Oryzias latipes: one gene and its partner. The protein of the gene in region 1 purifies or fractionates together with the protein of each later gene. This does not show direct contact. Links are inferred from orthologs where the notes say so. Each region holds a gene or a part of one and is shown in the gene's direction. Other genes may lie near its edges.

The links.
Region 2: the proteins of hadha (region 1) and glypican-1 purify together in Homo sapiens (co-immunoprecipitation; 3 studies listed by BioGRID and IntAct, with this or other methods). This does not show direct contact. The link is inferred for Oryzias latipes from reciprocal best matches to the Homo sapiens genes HADHA and GPC1.

Annotation. Positions count from the first base shown.
Region 1 is NC_019880.2:962,490-966,241, forward strand, and holds the start of hadha (trifunctional enzyme subunit alpha, mitochondrial), read left to right. Parts: upstream 1-1,503; 5' UTR 1,504-1,565; coding exon 1,566-1,632; intron 1,633-2,605; coding exon 2,606-2,647; intron 2,648-2,723; coding exon 2,724-2,794; intron 2,795-2,858; coding exon 2,859-2,992; intron 2,993-3,121; coding exon 3,122-3,260; intron 3,261-3,333; coding exon 3,334-3,453; intron 3,454-3,709; coding exon 3,710-3,752. UniProt on the Homo sapiens protein: Mitochondrial trifunctional enzyme catalyzes the last three of the four reactions of the mitochondrial beta-oxidation pathway.
Region 2 is NC_019875.2:23,932,533-23,936,184, reverse strand, and holds part of glypican-1, read left to right. Parts: intron 1-763; coding exon 764-991; intron 992-1,319; coding exon 1,320-1,483; intron 1,484-3,652. UniProt on the Homo sapiens protein: Cell surface proteoglycan that bears heparan sulfate. Binds, via the heparan sulfate side chains, alpha-4 (V) collagen and participates in Schwann cell myelination.

The DNA of each region.
Region 1 (3,752 bases):
AATAATAATTTTCTTATTAAAATGTTGATGTGTTTTTATCTGCTATGTTAAAAAAAATAAGATAAGCCAAACATAAAGTATTTTACCCCCCCCCCCCACACACACACACACAATCAACGGTAGATTTAAATCTAGATAAAAATGCCTGTAAGTTGTTTTACAATACTGATGAACCGAGCAGCAGTGATCAGGCCCCGTTCTATTATAAGAGAAAACTGCTCGTCAGAACATTTGTGAAAGCTAGTGTTTTTTTTCCCATACATTTTATTTATTGACAACATATGCTGCAAAGGTGAGAATACAGCTCTGCCAAAATGGGTTTTCTGTTCCAGCCACAAGTTTGTTTCTGCCTCATGTTCTTATCAACAGTTTCCACAAATGAACCAGTTATTCAAACATTTAAACAAAAAGAGCCGTTAATGTCAACATAAGACAATTAAACTTTAGTGTCATAACATGAATGTCAAATTGGACGACTTTGAATGAAAGATCTGTCTAAATGGATGCAGACTGCCCCCTTTGGTAGCTTCCATGTACTGAATGCATGTTCCCAGTCGGGTTTATTTTAATGTCAAGTGGAAACTGTTTTTTTTGTTGTTGTTTTTTTTTTTACTTATAACGGATTCCTGCTAAATTTAGAAATGTGAGGAGGTTTCTGGAGAAGAAAATAGAAGGTCAGAAGAAGCAGATTTGTGTCTTTGTAGATTTAGAGGAAGTCTATGACGGGATCCAGAGAGGAGCTGTGGTTTGGATGAGGACGTCTGGAGTGACACAGAAGAACGATGGAGATCTTCAGGCCACGGATGAGGGCTGGAAGACAGTGGTGAGATGTTCTGTAGGGGTGACAGAGATGGGGCTGCATCAAAGGTCAGCTTGGAGCTCCTTCTTGTTTCCACTGTGATGGACAGACTGACGGATGAGGTTAGACAGGAATCTATGTGGACCATCATGTTTGCAGATGATACTGTGGAAAGGTTGGAAAGGTGGAGGAAAGTTTCATGTGTGACCAAAGAATGAAAGGAAATGTGTAGAATAGTAAATCACTGCATGGATTTTACTGCTATATTGTCAAACAGTTTAAATGTAGACAATAACAGATCATATTTTCTGATATAGTGTTATTTTTAATTTTAGGATTTTTCTAATGAAAATAATCTGCACATATTTTAGATAATTTGATTTAGTGTCTAATTATCCTAAGTTTGATACGTCTTTGTATGAATGTATGACTGCAGATTGTGTTGTTTTGTGCATTATTCTTGCTTTGATTGCTTTAAATAAACCATTTAAAATCAAAAAATCTAATTAAATATTTGAAAAAGTTGTGGGGGTGAAAAAATGTATAGAACTTCAAGAAAAGTATTACGTTTATTCTGTAAAAACGACATTCAGTGTCAAGGAATGTGTTGACCCACAACTTCCAATCAAAAACGGGGTCTTCAGAAGTAGCCAATAACAAGCCCGCATTCTCCAGTAGCGACCAATGAAATCCTAGCAGGAGAAATCCATTTCCGGAAGTGACTGAGTTTGTAGTCTTCTGCTCCACACTGACCTCCGCTCCCAACATGGCTGGTGTCCGAGCCCTTGGTGTTCTCTCCAAGCTGTCAGCGAGGAGATATGCTCTTATTTCAGGTAGAACAAACCTTTGCGGAGTTTGAACGGCGGCGAGGAGCAGGCGGGAGTTTTACTTGGTAATAGATAACGAGGTCTGCTTTAGCTTCTGTTCCCACAGAGACAACTAGCTTGTAGCTTCGCAGAAGTGAGCGCGGTGCTGTTAAGCAAACGTGTTGGTGTCGTTCAAAGAAAACGTGTCGTAAAACACTAGTTCGTGGATTTCCCTCCGAACGTAAACAGATTCCGGTTTGTTTGGTCCGTGAAGCCGCAGCGCAAACCTCCAAGTTGTGCTAATTAGCTTCCTGCTACGGAATCAATGGTGATCCGTGGCTAGGATTCAGAACCGCCTGAGCGAGCCGGTCCATTTACGGTTCTGGCTGCGGGTTTAACAGATCCGTTCTGATCTGGCGCGTGTTTAGGCAAATGTCTGAAAGTGAGGGTCATTCATCGCCATTGTGTCTGTAGGGGGGAATGTAGGTGAAGGGTCATTGTCGAGGAGAGTGCTCAGCGCATGCGCGCGAGAGGTCACGGCTGTCACACGAGGACACCTCAGTGAAACCGAACATGTTGTTAGAGTACCACAGGTGTGTTTTCGAGACAGACTGTTTTTTTTGGGAGCATTTCATAGGAAGGACTCAGATTCTCTGTGGCAGGTCTGGTTCTGGTCTGATCCAGACCCGGTTTCTTTTAAGGGTTGTTCTGGTTTGATAGCTCACCTGAACTCAGGTTCTGTTGTAGAGAGTGGGGTTTCTGTTCTGGTTCGCTTTTCTTTTCCTGCTTTTGGTCAGGTCGTGGGAAAGTAGCGCCCCCAGATGAGCAGTTTGTGGAACTGCACGGTTCTCCCAGGCGTTTTGGGCCACTCCGGTTTTCTGCTGGAAGCAAACCGAGCATGATTATCCACAGGACCGCTCCAGAGCTAAAACAGCCTAAATAAGGGAAAAGAGCTGCAGCTGTAGTCTACTAACCACTGTCACTGTGTTTTCTCTTTCAGGCAGCATCTATCGCTCATTCTCCCTGGCTCCTGCCATGCTAGGTAACTCCCCTCCTGCTGCCTTCAGGTCCCGTCGTTCTTCGGCGTTTGACCTTTTCCCCGTCTGCTCTCTTCGCAGCTCGGACCCACGTGAACTATGAGATCAAGGATGACGTGGCCGTGGTCCGAATCAACGATCCAAACTCAAAGGTGAGAACTCAAACTCGGCTGGTTTGACTCCGATGGCGTGACTTTAGCTGCGGCGCGTCTTCAGGTCAACACGCTGTCGACGCAAATGCAAAAGGACCTGACGGAAGTCATGGAGGAAGTGTGGGCCAACGACGCCGTCAAAAGTGCCGTTCTGATCTCCTCCAAGCCTGGATGTTTCATCGCTGGGGCCGATATTAAGTAAGAGTCCCTGCAGCCGAAGCTTTTGTTTGGTGTCGGCCTGCAGGCGCTTTAGCAGCTTTCCTGAGTAACCACGCTTTGTTTGGGTGTGGATCCGGTGACGAGTCTGGGAAACGTTGTGCGTTTCAGCATGATCCAGAGCTGTAAGAGCGCAGAGGAGGTCAGCAGACTGTCTCAGGAAGGCCAGAAGATGTTCGAGAAGATTGAAAAATCTCCCAAACCTGTGGTTGCTGCCATCAACGGCTCGTGTTTAGGAGGAGGCTTGGAGGTGAGTGCTTCCTGTTGTCCTGTCGGAGGTGAACTCGGCCTCGTTGTCACTGTTTGTTTGTTGTTGTTTTTAGTTTGCCATCGCCTGTCAGTACAGAATCGCAACCAAAAGCAAGAAGACAGTTCTGGGTACTCCTGAAGTCATGCTGGGCCTCTTACCTGGAGCCGGAGGCACGCAGAGACTCCCCAAGATGGTGGGTGCTCACATCAGGTGACCTGTTTGCTTAATGACATGCAGAAACATCAGCTTCACTCCCCAATCCAGCATCTCTGCCCTCCTGTTTAAGGCTGCAGAAAGGTCTAAATCTGCCTTTTAATCTGAGATTAAGGTGTTCTTTAGTCAGAAGGCCGTAATGGAATCCATCCGTGCATCAAATGCATTCCAAGTTCTTGATGGATCTGTTTTTCTCTGGCCTCCTTCGTCCCTGAACACGTCTGTCTTTGGTGCAGGTGGGTCTTCCTAACGCCTTTGACATGATGCTGACGGGAAGAA
Region 2 (3,652 bases), on another chromosome or scaffold:
TTTCACAGATCAACAACTACAACATATGAAAGACATCACCAATCCTTATCCCAATTAGGCTCATACCACAAATGCCAAGCAAAAACCCTTTTCTTTTCATCTTAACTAGAATAAGGTCAACTATGTTTAACATGTGGTCTGGACAAAGCATGGAATATTCATATTTATTAATCCTTTAATTTATTTTTCTTTTTTTCACTTCTCAGAACTTTTGTACTTTTATTTGAAATGGATAGTTGGCACTCTACAAGCCTTGTTACACCAAATGTTATGTTAAGTGAGTATTGTTCTGACCCAGGACCAAAACAGTCAACAATATAGCTAAAATAAAAAAATGGTGATCATTTTGTATGTATTATGTAAAAATGATCATATTTAACCTTCAATAACTGGAATATAGAGATGCTAACTTATGTAATTTTGGCCTGCTCTATAAAGAAAAGTACAACTATTTGTGAATCTATTGGCACGTACACACTGTGCATAGGTGGCACACTCAAGAACGTGCTGAACATGGGGTTTTGCACGCACTTTTAGCATATGATGTTCACACAGGTGTGTCACTACCCGATAGTAGGGCACATATTCACAGTTGGAAAGGGCTTGGTGCAAAATGACTAAGCAATGCAAATCTCGCAAATCAGCGGCTCAAGTGCATGTTTCTGAGCCTGGTGTGAACGTAGAATAGGGACAATAACATTGTAGCATTAGTGCTTTTTCCCTGTTCTTCAAAGACTGACATTTCCTTTATTTCTTTTCTTAGGTTTCTTCTTGGACTTGCTGAATCGTTCCATGGCAAGGCTGCAGAAGAGTTTTACTTCAACCTGGGGTCTTCTGTACCAGATGAATACTCAGGTGTTTTCTGACCTGTACAATGATTTAAGCGGCTACTGCCGAGGTGGCAGTGTCAACCTGGAAGAAGTCCTAAATGAATTCTGGGCCAAGCTACTGGAAAAGCTCGTCTATCAGAAAAACAAGCAATTTTCATTAGGTATGTTTATACATGGAACTACAAATTCAAAGTGGTGGTTACAATTTGGCTTAAGCAATCTTTGTTTAAAAAACTACTGCCAGTTTTAAAACAAATTACTGGATTTTCTCCCTTGATTTTTAACAAAGACTCGACTCATTACAGATTAATTTCAGATTTAGACTAAACTTTGATCCCTTCTACTCGATTTGCGAGTGAAAGGCCACTTTTAAAAAGAAAAAAAGTGCTGAATTTACTTTTTAAAAAGATTTTTGTTTCACAGTTTTTCTTAAAAATATATATGGCACCTTATAAAAGAGATTTTGAATAATGTCTATGCTCCTTTCAGGTGAAGACTACCTGGAGTGTTTGTCAAAGCAGATTGAGACGATAAGACCTTTTGGAGAAACACCCCGTAAAATGTCTGGAGAAGTGACTCGCACACTCCTGGCAGCACGTTCATTTCTACAGGGACTAGTAAAGAGTGCAGAGGTGGTTCGCAAAGTGTCTCAGGTAAACCTTACATCTTAAACTCACATTTCTTTAACCCTTTCATTTAAACTATTTTTTCCTTTTTTTATCTTCATAGAAAATCTTCAAAGAAAAATCTTACTTAAATATGCATATTTTGCTGTCACCTATTTTTTTATCAATGATGAAATTCCTTGTACTTTTATTTTTAGTGATCGCAACTCTTTCTTCTTTTTGTGAACATCTCTGCACACACAGCCCACTTGCACACTATAAAGCATTGGCAGATCAATGTTGGGAGAAGTGAGAGGCTCCATAAAGTATGGCCTGCGGTGCGGACAATCAGCCCCTGCAACAACAGTTAATGTCAACTTCACACTGAAAAATGTCTCCCTAGGCTGCGGGGAGCATTAATATATCCCAAGAGAAATGGTCTTCTCTGTACATAAGACAAGAGTAAGGTTAAGACGAGTGTGGGACTGAGAAATCATTTCAGGGAGGTGGCCGGTATTGATGTTTCAGTGAATATGTCCTGTCAGACACTGGACAGGCAAACTGGTGTAAGATGTGGCCCCAAGGGATGTGCACATTTTTTCTTTTACATAAAATTATATTACTGGGAATTCAAAAAAGAAAAAAACTTAATTTTACAAATTATTTTTAGAAAAAGGTGTCAGTATAAAAACTGAAATAAAAACAAAACAACATATAGAAGATTTGGATGCACGTCAAGGAATTTAGTTGAAGCTCTCTGTTTGATATGTGTTCCTTGGCTGACTTTGGCACGCAGAGCAAAACTGTCTGACCTGACATATTTAACACCCTTCCTCTGTTTGGTAGTATCTTACCCATTTATAGAGACCTGAGGATTCTTGAATTGCCATTTTTTTTTACAAGCTTAAGCCTTGATTTAGCAGGTTAGGGAAAGGCAGGAGACCTCAACATCTAAACCTGGAACTAAGGGATCAATTTAGTTAAAAGTAGGAAATTTTTATTTAGGCAAACATGTAATCTATCATAATTTCATGTTTTAACGGATGCTTGTAACTTTCATCAACTTTTTATTCATATTAACTAGTTGTCTGTAAATAGTAAAAAAAATGGTGGTTAATTAATTTTTTTTAAATAATGCAAAATAAATTACACTGGAGTTCATGATCATTTAATATCTTTGTGTTTCTGGTGAGGATGCAAAGAAAATATTCTAAAAAACACTTTAAAAGTATAAAACTCAAACAATAAAAAAAAAACGTGAACCAAAATATTTGCAGAAACCAGTCACAAAACCAATGACAAGTGTCTGGCAGAAAAGAAAAAAAAAATCAATGATTAGACGTTACTGATGAAGAATGACAAGCACGCTGTGATGATAAGAAATTGAAACCAGGCCCAAACACTGACATGACATAAATCAAACTCGAGACAAAAGTACAAAAAAAGACAACAGAAGCCTTTGTTTTTGTATATCAGTAAGAATTGATTACCACATTCCAACCAAACCTATTACTACATATTAAGCCGAGCGCAACAGATTCAAGAGCTCTTCCTTAATACTGTTCTTTTCCAGCTGTTCTGCTTCCTGCAAATGTTTCAGGTTTTGTTGTGTAATTCTGTATGGGCCATGAAGTCTACTTATTTTAAAGTATACTGGGGCGACAGTGGTGCACTGGTAGGGTGATTGTACTCTGATCAGAAGATCACTTCGGTTCCCACCTCACCTGCCCATGTGCTGAAGTGTCCTTGGGCAGGACACTGAACCCCATGTTCAGGTGGATGCCAGTGTTCAGCAGCAGTGTGTGCGGCGTGAATGGAATTGTGATTGTGACTGTAAGGTACTTTGGGACTTCATGGAAGGCAGAAAAGAGCAGAAAACACTGGATAAGAATACAGTCTTTACCATTTATATAATCAAGCCTATTCCTTTAGAAAGATGTCAAACAGATGTTATTGGACTTTTTGTGGATTATTGGCTAATAAAACTCTGACAGTCTGTTGCCTGAATTTGAAAAACAATATGTTTTGTTCTAAATATTACCTTTTGTTAGATTTGTATCTTCATTGATTGGCCTTATACAGCGTGAGATTCTGGATCTTTGCCATGTCTGATCGTTGAGGCATTATATTTCTTTAACGTATAAAAGCAAAAATAAACAGTCTGAAATATTATTCAAAGTTTCAATAATTATTGTTTGGTTAAACAATGACAGAAAT